Linked DNA regions of Pelodiscus sinensis. Each later gene encodes a partner of the first gene's protein in a complex. Links are inferred from orthologs where the notes say so. Each region holds a gene or a part of one and is shown in the gene's direction. Other genes may lie near its edges.

Region 1 (7,916 bases):
GAGTCCACACAGGGTTTTGCAGCAATTTAAGGGTATGTCTACACTACAAAATTAATTCGAACTAACAGACGTTAGTTCGAATTAACTTTGATAGGCGCTACACTAGCGCTCCGCTAGTTCGAACTTAATTCAAACTAGCGGAGCGCTTAGTTCGAACTAGGTAAACCTCATTGTACGAGGACTAAACCTAGTTCGAACTTACTAGTTCGAACGAAGGGCTGTGTAGCCCCTTAATTCGAACTAGTGGGAGGCTAGCCCTCCCCAGCTTTCCCTGGTGGCCACTCTGGCCAACACCAGGGAAACTTTATTGCCCCCCTCCCGGCCCCGGATCCCTTAAAGGGGCACGGGCTGGCTACGGTGCCCGTGCCAGGTGCAAGCCTGCCAGCACCCAGCTAGCAGACCCTGCACCTGGCACGGCTCGAGCCAGCCACCCGATGCCCCCCAGCCCTCCCTCTCTTCCCGGGACCAGGCTGGCGGCTCCCGGGAGCTTGCCCGGGACCGCAAGAGGCGGGCACCCGCCTGGTCTAGTGCGGACATCATGGACCTCGTCCACGACCTCCACACTAGGCACAGGAAAGTGGCTGTCTAGGGCAGGAGAGCTGCCAGCCTGGCCACCCAGGAGCAGGTGTGCATGAAAATCAAGGTGGTCCACTGAGACCCCCGACCCTGAGCTTACAATGGCCGTACTGGGTCATACCAAAGGTCCATCTAGCTCAGTAGCCTGTTTGCCGACAGCGGCCAACCCTAGGGACCCTAGAGGGGATGGACCGAAGACAGTGACCAAGCCATTTGTCTCGTGCCATCCATCTCCAGCCTTCCACAAACTTCGGGCAGGGACACCACTCCTACCCCCTGGCTAATACCACTCCATGGACCCAACCTCCATGACTTGATCTTACTTCCCTTTAAACTCTGTTCTAGTTCTAGCCTTCACAGCCTCCTGCAGCAAGGAGTTCCACAGATTGACTCTTTGCTTTGTGAAGAACTTTCTGTTACTAGTTTGAAGCCTGCTACCCATTCCTTTCATTTGGTGTCCTCTAGTCCTTCTGTTATGGGAACTAATGAAGAACTTTTCTTTATGCACCCTCTCCACACCACTCATGCTTTTATAGACCTCTATCCTATCCCCCTCTCAGTCTCCTCTCTTCATATGGGACCTGTTCCAAACCTCTGATCATTTTAGTTGCCCTCCCCTCTCCCACCTTCTCTCTTCCCCTCTCCCACCTCCTTTTCCCATCTCCCTGAGTTTTGTTCAATAAAGAGAGATTCTATTTTTGACCACACATTTTCTTTATTTTGTACATCAGGAAGGGGGGCTAGGGAAGGGTAAGTGGAAGGAGGTGAGGGAGGAATGGGGTACGAGCCCCCGATGGGGAGGACTGGGCTGGCTCTGCGGGCTTCTGGGGGTGGAAGCTCTCCTGCAGCCCCCCAATTGCCCCCTCTCCCCAGATGGCAGTCTGCGGCAAGTGCAGCCGGTCTGATGGCCGAGTGCTGTGATGTGCTGAGTGTGGACACTCAGGGCACTCCAAGCCAGGACTGCTTTGCAAGCGGGGCACCCCTGAGAACTGTCTGTCCGAGGTGGGGGTCGGGTCCCTTTAAGCACAGCTCTCGGCTAGCCTGAGGCAGCAGCTCCACGCTCTAAGTCCTCATCTGATGCCCTGCCGGCACTGCTTCCGGCCATCCTTAATCCCGGTTCAGGGTCCACTTAATGTGGACATGCTAGTTCGAATTAGCAAAACGCTAATTCACACTAGTTTTTTAGTCTGGATGCGTTAGTTCGAATTAGCTTAGTTCAAATGAACTAATTCGAACTAAGTTTGTTCGAGTTAGCGCTGTAGTGTAGGCATACCCTAACTTAGTTGGTTTGAAATACCAGCTCAATAAAAAGGCACAGTTTGGGTGCAAAACAGGCCTCATCCTTGCAGAAAAATGTGCTCAACCAATAAACAACAGAAGCAAAAGCATGAACTCTCCCCATTCATCACAGTAAATTGTGGACTATTTATCCACTTCAGAGCTTATTACAAACCATTAAAATGCTAACAACTTTCCTTTTCTTTAGGAAAACAAACAAGACAGTCAAATACACAAAAGCTATGTGTATGCAATGTTAATGTTCTACAATTAAACACTCAACGCAAGGGAATACAGCAGTTAAGGTTTCTGAATTAACATAACTTGCCCACATTGTGCATACATATTTGTGATTACTGGTTAGGCTACTAAATACACACTATATCTAATATACAAAGGAGAATGTTTGTATGTTTGTGCGCTATAACTTGGGCGCTATAAGAGCTACCCCAAACTTTGCATGGGGTAACCTTTCCTCCAGGAGAAGGTTTTAAGGTACTTTTGGCAGTGCGGGGAGAAGCAACTTCCCGGGGGAAGCTGCGGGGACAGTCACTCACTAAGGCTGGTGGTGGAGGCGGGAGGGGAGGCACTCTGAGCAGCAGCTGCTCCACTCGCCTGTACCAGGCCATTCCACTGAACAGGTGCATCTAGGGTGGGGGAGCCCCCTTCTTCCTCCCACCCATGATGTCACTTGGCCCGGGACCCACCCCTCCGGCAGCGGCTGAGGGTTGCCACGCTGTGGGCTGGAGCTTGCGGCCACCGCTAGGGGCGGTTGCGGGCACAGTGGGGCAAGCCCAGCAGGGAGGCGGCAGCGGTGCTGGGAGCAGCCCAGAGTCCGGCGCAGCTTCCTGGTCGTGTGGCAGGGAGCCCGGCACCTGCTCATCGAGGCCCACGGGAGAGGGGAGCCCCTGGAGCGGCCCCATGGTGCAGCAGGTAGCGGTGCGAAAGTTTCAGTGTGGACGGTGGGGTTGTTGCCCCGTGGCCCTTGTAGCCCTAGGCGCGAGCTGGGCTGTCCAGCCCACTGTAGGTTCCATGCTTACTCCCTCCTGTCCCTCACACGGGGCACCCCCGGCAGGACCCCACTGCCCACCCCAAGCAACATCGGGTAACTCCAGCTAGTGTAAAATAGATGTTATGTTTTTGAGAGAACTTTAATTTTTGGATTCACTGACTTTGTTCAAATATGTAGCATTCATATTTCACTTTTTTTTTTTTTTTTTGCTACAGCCCCAATCATATCTGATTGGAGTTATGTCTATACTGCAAGGCTTTTCTGCAAGAGGAAATGCAAATATGAGCAAGATACGCAAATGAGCGCTCATGTCACACTCGCATTTCCTCTTCCTCTTCGGATCACTTTTGTGCAAAAAAGAGCTATGTAGATGGCTCCTTTTTGTGCAAAAACAAGTGCAACATATGCAAATGAGTGCTCCATTTGCATTTCCTCTAGCGGAAAAGCCTTGTAGTATAGACCGTAGCCTAAGTCTCTGCATTGTCAGACTTCCTGCTCCATCCACCTTCATTCTTTCCTATTAAGTGTATTTAACAGAGTTGCTGCCCTCCTTCCGACCAGCAACTCCTACAGAGCTAGTGTAGACTACGCCTAAACTGGCTTGTCCAAGTCAGCTTACTCTGTCTCTCAGGATGCTTGATCTGGAACCCAAGTTCTTTGACTCTTCACCCTTAGAGGGTCCCAGAGCTCTGGCTGGAGCACAAACTCAAACTTCTACACAGTAATTTTTAGTCCCACAACCTGAGCATGACAAGCCCAAACCAGCTGACATAGGCCAGCCATATATCTTTTTATTCCTATGTAGATGTAACCCAAGAACTTCTGTTCTCCTGCTCCCACCTATTCTCTCCTAGGGTGTGGTTGTTCCAGGGGTCATCTATACAGTAGTTCCTCTGCAGGGTTGTAGTATTAAGAGACCTGGTCTGCACTACAAAGTTACTATGGCAGATACATCAATTTTCTTAATTGCACACTAAAGTTTCACTCCCACCAACATAACTGCCCTGCAATGCAGGCATAACTCCACCTCTGATGTGAGGAGCAGCATCAATGTGGATTTAGTTAGATCAAAGCAATGTAGGTGCACACACTGTGTTGTTTACATTGACTGTTACGGGCTTTCAGCATCTATCCGACAATGCCCCACAGTGACAGTACAACCTGTACAAGTGCACCTGGTTAGGATATGCACTGCCAACACATGGAGCAAAGTAGAGACATGCACAAGTGATGTAATTTCTATTGTGGCTGGATGCTGCGGTAAGTTAAGTCAACTTCAATTCTCTAGCAGAGACATGCCCTCAATGTAGATATGCTGATAAAGGGGTTCTCTCATTGGCATAAATAATCCACCCCTGAGATGCCGTAGCTAAGTGAACAGAAAAATTCATCCACCCCTTAGCACTGTCTACACACGGACTCAGATCAACTTAATTGTCACCAGGGTCCGGATTTTCCACACCTTTGAGTGATGTAGCCAGGACCAATTTTCCAGCACACAGCAAGCAGCCCACGGAGCTGCTGCCGTGCTACCCCTCTTGCCCCCGTTGTCTCCTGTGGGTGCGTGATGGGAACTGCTGTCTCCACCTCCCACGGGAGTGGAAGGGTCCAGGCCCCAACAGCCCCTTTTCCGTGCCCCGGAGCGGGCGTGTAACGGAGCCCCACGTGGGCAGGATGGGACCCGGGACTCACCCCCCTGCTGTGCAGTGAGTGTGACCGAGCTGCTGCCGCCCGCGCGCTGGGGGACCGCAGCACTAATTGGGTCCCCGCTCTCTCGGGCGGGAGCGTGTGGCAGGGCTCCCGCTCCCCTCCCACGGGGGAGGCCGCCCCCGTCCCGGCCGTGGCAGGCCCGGCTCCCTGCGGCAGCAGCGCCCTGGCTTCCCACCCGGGTTAAGCGCGGGGAGAGCGAGGCCCAGCAGGAGCCAGGCGGCAGAGGGGCCCAGCCTCCCGTGGGGGCGGAGGGAGCCGCGGGCCGGGCCTGGGCGCGCAGGCAGCTCGCGTCTCGCCCTGGTTCCGGTTGCCAGGCCGGGCGGCGGCGGGGTCACGGCGGCGGCGGGCGGGTCAGAGGGTAAAGGTCGCTCCCCCAGCATCCTCCGTGCTGGATACTCAGCCATCTTGGATCCGCGGGACAAGAAAATTCATGCGGTGAGTTCGGCCCCCATTATTTTCTGGCCCCCTCCCCGCGGCGCGCTCTGCCCGCTGCCTCCCAACGGGGCCCGCAGGCGCTGGGGGTGGGGCCCCCGGCGGTCCGGGCCCGGCTCCGCGGTCACTGGGCCCGGCCGCAGCCAGCCGGGTTTCCGTTTGCTTTTGTCTCCGAGGGAGAGAGAGAGGGGGGGACGCGCGACGTCTGAGTCGGGAGCGGAGCCCTTAGGCCCAGCCCAGGCAGCGGACCCGTCGCTTCCGCCATCCCCGGCCCGGCGGCGGCGGCGGCACCCGGGCCCCGCTCTGCGGGGAGGGAAAGGCCAGCGCTGCGGGAGGCGGCAGAGCCTGGGGCCCGCACCCTAGGGCCTCCTCATCCTCTGCGAGCGTCTGTGGCTTCTCACACAGCCGCGGCTTCCCTTCCTGCTGCCCCTTGCCCTGGCGGCTGCCACCCGCGATGTCCGCCCCTTGACTCGCCTCCTTCCCGCTCCCGCCTGTGCCCTAGTGTCTTGCTCATCTGACCCGTCCCCCTAGCCCTTGGCCTAGTTGTGGTTCTTGACACCCTCCCGCCCCATCGCGCGTTCGACTTCTTTAGGCGTCTGAGGAGAAGTTGGTGCTAATGTCCTCCCTCCCGTGTCTTGTGGCTTCGGGTTAAGAAACCAGTGAAGCGAAATCTGCCACCCACTGTCTCTGCTGCTACTGGTTTTTCCTTATAGGCGATGCTGGGGTTTTGCAGTTTACCAGTGTGGACTTGCGGCCTGTTATGTGAGCCCTGTAGATGAGAGAGGGCTGTGAAATAGGGTTAATTATTTCTGGTGTATTCTTCCCCGGCCTTTTTGAGGGAGGCTGAGATGACGTTGAAACAGGTTGTGATTCTTCCTCAGAAATGTTTGTTAAACAAACTTGAAGCACGCTGAACCACTTCCTCTGAGTGCTGCCTCTGTCTGTGTCAGAAGATGTCTTGTCTTCCTGTGTGTGTGATGTTTCTGTTTCAAAGCAGCTTTCACTGTGAACCAGCACTAATGGGGAAAATTCAGATGTCGTAGGGGAGAATGAATTCTTGTTTACAAATGTAGCTTGTACATCGTCCTGAAATTTGCAAGCCAAAGAATATGCACCTGTTACTTAAACTTTTATTATAATTCAAGTTACAGATGACTTTAACTTAAATATTTTGTAGTACTCTGTCAAATCTCAACATAATTACGTCATTGTGGATCAGCAGTGTTTACTTTTGGAAAAAACACATTTTGTTTGAACAACTTATTATCAAAACTTTAGTGTTATGTTAGCTTTTCATTTCTTACATAAAATGATTCCATTTGATTCTTGGATGAATTAAGTCCATGAAGGAAGGAAATACTGTTGTGCAGGCCAATATGAGTAACACCTGGTGGAAGTGATTGGCTGTTGGACTTAAATAAGTAATAGGAGAGCTTAAACTTTATCAAACTTTCTGTTACATCAGTCTGTAGACCTCATTAGGTTTCTGGAAATATGGATGTAGTTCAAACTATTGAGACACATGTAGAGCAGAACAATCAAATATAATTTAGGTTTTCATTGCAAAGATTCCTTTTTGTGGACTAACATATGCACTAATATCCTTTAATTTTTTTTTCTATTGTTGATCAAAGCTTGCGTGATCCAGGTCTTGAGGACTGCAGTGTTTTATAACATTATAACTGTTTTGGGGGAGAGTTCCAGCTGACACATGGTCAACTTCCAGATTTCCAGGGACTAGATCCTTTTGGTATTATGAAGGAATTTAAGTACCTTTATAGTTTATAACAAAAACTGGAATACCATTCACTAGAAGATGGCATTTTTTTTGCGGGAAGCTGTGAACATTAAGTATTAATAGATATTGGGGTGATAAAATGAGTTGTTGCCTTTTTGCTTATCTGTGGTGTTTCATTATCTTTTCTTTCTGATATTTGTCTAATGCCTTTGGCTAATAATTTGAAAAGGGACTAATGATTTTTGGATGCTTTATTTTCTGAATTGTCCAACTTGAGAGGCTTTATTTTATAAAGCGAACAAGTATTAAGGTATCTTCAGTTGACTCTACAAAATTGAGGTCCCAGAAATCTTTCTTGACTTTTGAAAATCTTGGCTTTTGTCTCCAGCTTGTTAAGTATGCCCTGTAACCAGGTACTTGGTATTAGATCTGAAACTAGAAACTTGCATTTTTAGGCTTCAGGTTTGCACAGTTTGGGTGCAGGATACTCTTGTGTGTCAGAGTTCATTGTGTTATAATAGTCATAACTTCCATAGTTATTTTTGTATTTGAAAATACTTTTCACTCAACTTGTAGAATTTGTAAACAACTTTTTTCAACTCACCAGTCTTAAGAGTAGATGAGGTGAGTACCTGTTATTAGCTTAGTGACTAATACTTGCACTGTCAAAGGCAAAATGAAAATAATCTGCATCAGACATTCTGATTTGAGCTAAAATATTAAGCCTAATACTGATTTGTCAGATTTTTCTTTCAGAAATGCACAAACAAATCTCAGTGAAATATACAGGAATTGTGCACGAGTATTCGAGTACAGAATTTGGCCTTAAGTACTGCAGAATCCTTGTGTTTAAAGTGGTGTTTAAAGAAATCTATAATACAACCTGTTACTTTTGTGCAGGTCTGAGTTCCTATTAAACAATATACGGTAGTTTTTCTTTAATTGTTGGTAAACTACTTGTCATATTTGTGCATATTTCTAGATGTTAGTCTAATCAGAGAAAGCCTAAACCCATATACAAATAGTGTACTATGTATGTACTAGTCTAAACAGAACTGAATTTCATTGGGGAGAAGAGGGAAACAAACAAGCAGATATTGTAAGACCCACAGGGTTAGTCAATCATTTTCATAATACATAAAACATATAGCTTGATATGTATTGACAAAA
Region 2 (7,993 bases), on another chromosome or scaffold:
GTTCTTGTGTTACGGGAACAAGTCAGTAACTTTTCCTTATTCACTTTCTCCACACCAGTCATGATTTTATAGACCTCCATCATACTCCCCTCTTAATCTCCTCTTTTCTAAGATGAAAAATCTCTGTCTTTTTCATCTCTCTTCATATGGCAGCTGCTCCAAACCTCAACCATTTTTGTTGCCCTTTTCTGAACTTTTTCCAATGCCAATATATTTTTTTTAGATGAGGCAACCACATTTGTACGCAGCATTCAAGATGTGGGCATACCATGGATTTATACAGAGGCAATAAGATGTTCTCTGTCTTATTCTCTATTTTTTTTTTAATTATTCCCAACATTCTGTTTGCTTTTTTGACTACTGCTGCACGTTGAGTGGATATTTTCAGAGAACTATCCACAATGACTCTACAATCTCTCTGGAGTCGTAACAGCTAATTTAGTCCCCATCATTTTGTATGTGTAGTTGGGATTATGTTTTCCAATATGCATTACTTTGCATTTATCAACATTAAAATTAATTTGCCTTTTGCTGCCCAATCTCCTAGTTTTGTGAAATCCTTTTGAAGCTCTTCACAGTCTGCTTTGGTCTTAACTATTTTGAGCAGTTTAGTATCATCTACAAATGTTGCCCCCTCACTGTTTGCCCCTTTTTCCAGATCATTTATGAATATGTTGAATAGGACTGGCCCCAGTACAGACCCCTGTGGGACCCCACTAGTTACCTCACTCCATTCTGAAAACTGTCCATTATTCCTATCCTTTTTTTCCTATCTTTTAACCAGTTATCAAGCCCTGAGAGAACCTCCCCTCTTATCCCATGACAAGTTACTTAAGAACCTTTGGTGAGGGACCTTGTCAAAGGCTTCCTGGAACTCTAAGTACACTGTGCTCACTGGATCCCCCTTGTCCACATGCATCAGTACATGCATCTGACAAAGTGAGTCTTTGCCCATGAAAGCTTATGATCCAATAAATCTGTTAGGCTACGTCTACACTGGCCCCTTTTCCGGAAGGGGCATGTAAATTTCACCAGTCGTAGTAGGGAAATGCGCGGGGGATTTAAATATCCCCCGCGGCATTTAAATAAAAATGTCCGCCGCTTTTTTCCGGCTTTTAAAAAAGCCGGAAAAGAGCGTCTACACTGGCCCCGATCCTCCGGAAAAAGCGCCCTTTTCCGGAGGCTCTTATTCCTACTTCAAAGTAGGAATAAGAGCCTCCGGAAAAGGGCGCTTTTTCCGGAGGATCGGGGCCAGTGTAGACGCTCTTTTCCGGCTTTTTTAAAAGCCGGAAAAAAGCGGCGGACATTTTTATTTAAATGCCGCGGGGGATATTTAAATCCCCCGCGCATTTCCCTACTACGACTGGTGAAATTTACATGCCCCTTCCGGAAAAGGGGCCAGTGTAGACGTAGCCCAAGTCTATAAGGTGCCACAGGACGTGTTGTTGTTTATGCAGATTCAGATTAACATTGCTACCCTTCTGATACTTGTCCACATGCTTGTTGATGCCCACAAAGAACTCTAGTAGATTAGTAAGGCATGATTTCCCTTTACAGAAACCATGTTGACTTTTCCCAACAAACTATGTTCATCTATGTGTCTGACAATTCTATTCTTTACTATTGGTTAAACTAAGTTGCCTGGTACTGACATCAGACTTATTTTATACCCAATACTTGCTTTTTTGGTTAACTAAATATTTTCAGTACAGGAAGAATTTAAGGATGGCCTTCAAATCTTCCACTCTCCCCTAAAATAAGTACAGCAGAGAAGAATTTCAACCACATGACCATTCAAGGTCAAACCTATTACAACACACAAAAAACTCTTATGACTTAACAGCATTCATCATCATCCATATTCTCCAGCCACCAGTTGTGACTCGTTTAAACTATATTATAAAGTCTCTTTGGGACAAAGATAATCTTTTACTTTATATCTGCATCTAGCACTATGGGGCCCCAACCTGACTGTGGCTTCTAGACACCACTAACAAATAAAAAAGTAATTTTGACAAGTATGAAGAGCTGCCAGTTACTGAAGCGAGAGAAAGATTTAGTTCAATTTGCCTCTATAACATGACAGTAGGATCTCCCAAATCTGCAGATGAAGAGGTTTCTGATTAATCTGAACCGGAAGACAGAAAAAAGGCCTAAAACTCCTCCTAATGTTTCCTGTCCCAAAATATGAATATCATCAAGTGCACACATTTTACTTATCGCCTTATAGTTGGTATGAACCTTATTTTTCTGACAGCAAGAGCTATCAAAGCTCCAAAAGGAAGTGGTGAAAATCAAGTTTCTTGGCACACTAATAACCTAGACTGGACAGAAGTGTAGTTGATGTACAACAGTGAAGAGTTTTGCACCTGGACTAAGGGTATATTTACACTGGAAATGTTCAGCACTTCCACTGGAAAAAGTACTAGTGTAGTAGAAAAGGCATACGTGACCTAATAAATCGCCACACAGATGGTCTGAAAGTTTGTCAAATAAGCAAAAAGAGTTTAAAAAAGCGAATACAAAATAACAAGATACTATATAGTGTTTGGTTCATTTTACTTTCATGTCTTAAGCATTTTCATTTCTTCCCAATAATTGGTTTGTCCACTCCTGCCTTGGCATTCTACCCAATGATACACCTGAATACTGTAAAGTATGTTTATACAAAAGGATTAATGTTCTAGAAATGAAAACCAAGAAACAGTAACAGAGGGAAGTCTGTGAGATACTTAGTAGTCTTTGAGATGAAAGCTGTTCACAAAAGGGAACAATCCATGCATTGCTCATATAAAACACCTTGATATCTGAAGTACCTGAAATGTCTTTGGAATTCCTCCAACATTGTAGTGAACGACTAAACTCACTTTGTTGTCCTTCTCCACAATTTCAAAGCTTCCTTCTTTCCATTTTGTAATCCCAGTTTGCATGCTGCGCATCCGTACAGGCCCATGCACCTTCAGTGGAGCCATTTTTCTTGCAGATAAATAACTTAAAACAGTTGAACTAAATTTACTTCACTTTGAATCCTGTTAAAAATAAGAAAAATTAAAATTGGCAACTAGCAAATAAAAGTATCTGCATAAAGTGTAAAAATCAGGAACAGCATTTTTTGCAGGAGTCTAGAAAAAATAGAATACAGTAAATGAAATATGTATTAGGAAATCTTCCATAATTTGGCCAGCATTACTTTAAGCCAGTGGTCTCCAGACTCTTCAGGGTTCATGCTCCTTACCCAGACTGGGGGCAAAACTGTGGCTAAGGGGAGGAAATGTAGACAAAAGTAAGGAACCTGAGGCTGTGGTCACAGTTGGAGGCCAGACTCAGGGGCATGAGTAGAGCTGAGGCCTTGATGTGGGGAATGCCTCGCACCTTGGGGAACTCTGTTTTAATCCCTAAATATTTAACACTGAGTGAGATGACTCAGTACAAACAGTGAAAGATCTTGCAAGTCTAAGAATGACATTTACAGAGTTACCAAAACAAATTGATCTTGAGCTAAGAGCAAGCAGGGAAAGATGAGGGGGAAAAGACAACAAATTTTCCAAGAAACCATTTGGTTTCCAAAATTGGACAATAAAACCTCTAATGAGAAACTGACTTTTTATAATAAAATTTATTCTTTGTATTTGCAAGTTTTACTTATTGTCACCTCAACGTCACCTGTTTCTCTCTCTCAGCCACCTGTTGCATCTTGTCATTGATCTAGATTATCATCTTTTGGTTATAGATTGTGTTTTGATATTGGTACAGCACTTTGTACAACGAGACTCCAACTTGACTGAGGCTGCTAAGCAACGTTAATACAAATTACTAAAACAATGTGACAAATTACTCTTTAAATAATCCACATTTTGATAGGAACTGTCTGATTAAAACCAACGAAGGAAGGAAGCTTTGCATAGGATCACACACACAGCCCTTTTCTATTTAACTTTTGAGGGGGATGCAGTTCAATACAAGCTAGGGACACGCAAGCGACAATCACCAGGCAGCAGGGCTCGCAATGGTTCAAGTGCGAAGGGCGTTTCTTTCGGGGCAGTGAGCGGGTGCACGGCAGAGTCCGGGGAAGGGGAGGCCGTTCCTGCACAGGCCGAGAAGCGGCATCACAGGCCCGTGCCCAGGGCAGGGCGGCTCTGCGGGGCGAGCCCGACAGGCACAGGGGCCAGCTGGGTCCCCGCGCGCTCAGAGCGCCACACCGCGCACGTGCCGCGCCCCGCGCGCTCACCGGCAAAACCCACCGGGGGGGGCGGGGGGGAGACGGGGCAGCGGTCACGTGGGGGCAGCCCAGCGCGAGGGGCACCTGTGGCGCGCGCGGAGGGCAGCGGGCCCCAGGGACTGAGCAGCGCGCGGCCGGGCTCTGCCCCCCCCCCGGGGCTCTGCCCCGCGCGCCGGGGGGGGGGGGAGAGTGACCCACTCGCCCCGCCCCCCCACCTGCCGTGCCCGGACAGCGCCCCGCCCGGGCGGGGGAAGGGCTCGGCCGGGCTGACCGGGGGCTCTCGCGGCTGCAGGCGGCCGGAGGGGGAGGGGGCAGCTGAGGGGGCCCGTGGGGGCGGGGGCCGCGGCTCGCTACCTGCCGCTCGGGTCCCGCGAGGCCCCGCCGGGCGCTGCGCTCGCTCCTCAGGGAGGCAGATGGCGGGAAGCGGGCAGCCGCGCGAGACGCCCCGCGCGAGACGCGGCACGTACGGCACGCGCGCGCGGTGGCGTCACGGCGCTGCGCGCAGGCTCGCCGCGGGCCCTCCGCCGCCCCGCAGAGCGCGCCCTGCTCGCCCACAAGCCGCCGCGCGCAGGCGCCTCACCCTCCCCCCCCCCGGCGCGGAGCACGTGACGGGGTGAGAGGGCGGAGGGCAGGGGTCAGGGCGGCGCGCAGGCGGCCTGGGCCCCATGGCGACGGCAGCGGCCTCCTGATCCCGGGCCCGGGCGGCGGCGGCTCCGAACATGCACAGCCTGGCCACGGCCGCGGTGAGTCCCCCCGCCCCCCCCCTCCGGCCGGGCCCCTGCGGGCAGCGACGCGGGGCCGGGGGGGCTCCCCGCGGGCGGGCCCGGGCACAGACCCCGCCCCCCCGGCGGGCTTCAAAACGGCGGCAGCACGAGGCGGCGCTTCCCGCACGGGCGGAGTCGCTGCGGGCCGGAGGGGCCTGGAGATCCGCCCGGCCCGGCCCTCGTGGCGGCCCCGCGCCCCCCGCAGCCTCCCCTGCGGCCAGGGAAGCCCCGAGCCTCCGGCCTGGCCCAGGGCCCCTCCCCCTCCCCTAGCCGCTCTGGACAGCTGGTGCCCTGCCCAGCTCGGTCTCCCCTAGCCCGGACTCCACATCGCGCCGCCGCGCAGTGAGTCAGGAGCGCGCGAAATGGTGAAACGGCGGCGGGGTCGCGGTTTTCATGGGTCCTTTCAAACCGTGCGAGGGGGCTGAGGGCGCCTTTGAACAAGTCTCCCAGAGCTTTGACAAACCAGGACTAGGCAGCACTTTACAGACTCACAGGATGGTTTATTAGATGATGAGCTTTCGTGGGCCAGACCCACTTCCTCAGATCAAAGAGTGGAAGAAAATTGTCAGAACCATAGATACCAAAGGGTTGTGACAATTTTCTTCCACTATTTGATCTGAGGAAGTGGGTCTGGCCCACCAAAGCTCATCACCTAATAAACCATCTTGTGAGTCTTTATACTGCTGCATAGCCTGGTGTAGCTGAAACAAAGAACAGGACTAACACGGCTACATTTCTATCACTATCCCATAGCTTTGTGCGCTGTGATCGAATATACTTCAGGTTCATTCTCCTGCTATTTACATTTGGTAAATGCAGCTGTCTGCAGGGGGGGGCTGCACTACACAACGCTATCCTTGGTTGAGCAAGGTGGAGCACTGGCCTTTTACGACGAGACCACCAGTACAGTCTGTATTTAGAGTGCTAATCTGAAAAGAACATAACGTAACAAAGGGGAGGTCCAGAGAATGGAGCAAACACAATAAAAACAGACAACTTGATATAGAAGCATGAGCGTGAACTTACAAATCAGTCAGTGCCTTGCAATATTGTTGTTAAATAAAGGCTTCATATTGGTGTTACCGTGTTGAAAATCTAACAATATAGGCAGAAAATAGACAATTGTATGTATGTATTGATGTTTTTACCTAGAATGCTTCAAGGCAGTTGCCAGTTGGAGACTGTTTCTTAAATTATGTAAAATCAAATCTGCTATGTAATAGGGATGTAAGCGACTAGCCTGGCAGCTCTTAATACATTTAAAAGGCAGAGCCGCAGTGGGATTAGCTGCCCGGGGCCGGGAGCTAACCCCATTGCAGCTCTGCAGTCCCGCCCCCCCCATCAACTAATCGACTAGTTGATTAAGTGCAATTTACATCCTTATTATGTAATAGTCAGAGTTGCAGTTTGGCAGACACTGTGTCCTGAGCTCTTCAGTGATCCACAAATGGTCAGTGTGTATGGTGTTTTAAAACAGCTATGACCTCACTCTTGCATGCATGAAGCACAGCAGAGTGCATTAGTAAGATCAATATGTATCTGCAATGTTTGTGATATTTGGCATTACCCAAGATCCTAGGGAAGGAGAATGATACCTTCAGCCTTGAGAACAGCAGTTTAAAAATTAGATGATTTTATCAACAACCGCATGAAATATAGGTGGGATGTACAGAGAAAAATAACATCAGATGGGAATCTGTATGATCTGTGGGGAGAAATTTGATTCTTACTGAGGAAGGCACTGAACACTGTGGATGTATGCCTGCGTTGCTAAGGAGTGAGTGTATTTGAACTGTTAACGTGAACTGAAGCTTTCAATATGTCTAGTGAATTAGGCCTGAACGTATAGCTCTCCAAGAGCCTGCCATCATAAACAAACACAAAGTAGACTTTCCCATTTTCCCTGTATTTCTAAGCCCCCTTATAGGGAGTGCTAATAGGATTACACTTGTCACAGTTCACCATGCTCACGAAATATCCTGGCTTCAGGATCTGAAAAAGAATCTGGAAAACAGACAAGAGAGTCAGAGAAGGATTGATTTGAGGAAAGTTGAAGAGTTAAAATGTATGGCGAGCTTTGCAGGGCAGGGATCAAGTGTGGATAATACATCTATAGATCATCTGATGGCACTAAATAAATACTTTCCTAAGTTAATAAGAGCAAACAGTTAATAAGTCTACAGGTTCTTGATCCTATAAATACCAAAGGTGAGAGAGTTAGTTAGAATGTGCATGGTATATAATGGGATTGAATGGATGAAACAGAGGGAAAAATTTTCGAAATGTCAAGAAACACTTGCTGATATTGAGAAGCGAGTCTGTAGAATGGTATCCCAAAGACTTAGTCCCTAATATGCATCTCTAACCTCTACAGTTCGGTAAAGATTGATCCCAGTTGTATAGTTTCACTTCTAGTACTAGCTGGTTTCACTTCATAGTTCTTGAGCATGACGAATTGTAGAGGAGATTGCAAGGGAATACTTAAACCCAAATACACTGCAACTAGTTGGCTTAACGTTCAAGAAAATAGTCCTATTGAGATCTAGTTAAACCTAAATTTTGAGCTTAAACTACCAAGCTGCTACTTTACTTAGTGCAAGAGAATTTAGTTTATATCGCTGTTTTAAAGAGCATTTGAAAGATCATGAAACTTTGTTTTTAATGAAAGTTTAACTTCTCTGAAAAGGAAATCCCAGAGATCTTAAAATCCTGGGTTCCCCAGTGTGATTCTTTTATTTCTGAGACTTCACTGTCTGTGTTACCCTTTCACTGATTTTGTGGAGAAGGGGGATGGAAATAACTTTTAAAACTGTCCTGCTTAATCTTAAAAAGATTTTTTGAGTGTAGGTACAGATTTACCCTTCTCGGTTGTAGTCTGGGAAGAATTTTTCTCACAAAGCAAAGTATCAGGGAGTTCCCTTTGAGAGAGATACTTAGGGAAGTGGCTGAGGTTCTTGGGAACACAAGCAAGATGAACAGGGTGGATTTGTGCAACACCTATTTGTAGCAC

What was found.
Region 2: CNOT2 (region 1) and CNOT9 share a complex: the UniProt entries of both Homo sapiens proteins name them as parts of the CCR4-NOT complex. The link is inferred for Pelodiscus sinensis from reciprocal best matches to the Homo sapiens genes CNOT2 and CNOT9.

The regions. Positions count from the first base shown.
Region 1 is NC_134711.1:64,364,985-64,372,900, forward strand, and holds the start of CNOT2 (CCR4-NOT transcription complex subunit 2), read left to right. Parts: upstream 1-4,887; 5' UTR 4,888-5,011; intron 5,012-7,916. UniProt on the Homo sapiens protein: Component of the CCR4-NOT complex which is one of the major cellular mRNA deadenylases and is linked to various cellular processes including bulk mRNA degradation, miRNA-mediated repression, translational repression during translational initiation and general transcription regulation.
Region 2 is NC_134717.1:924,766-932,758, reverse strand, and holds the start of CNOT9 (CCR4-NOT transcription complex subunit 9), read left to right. Parts: upstream 1-4,810; 5' UTR 4,811-4,938; coding exon 4,939-4,962; intron 4,963-5,169; exon of another isoform or gene 5,170-5,325; intron 5,326-7,993. Other genes in the region: USP37 (ubiquitin carboxyl-terminal hydrolase 37), read right to left, coding at 2,817-2,972. UniProt on the Homo sapiens protein: Component of the CCR4-NOT complex which is one of the major cellular mRNA deadenylases and is linked to various cellular processes including bulk mRNA degradation, miRNA-mediated repression, translational repression during translational initiation and general transcription regulation.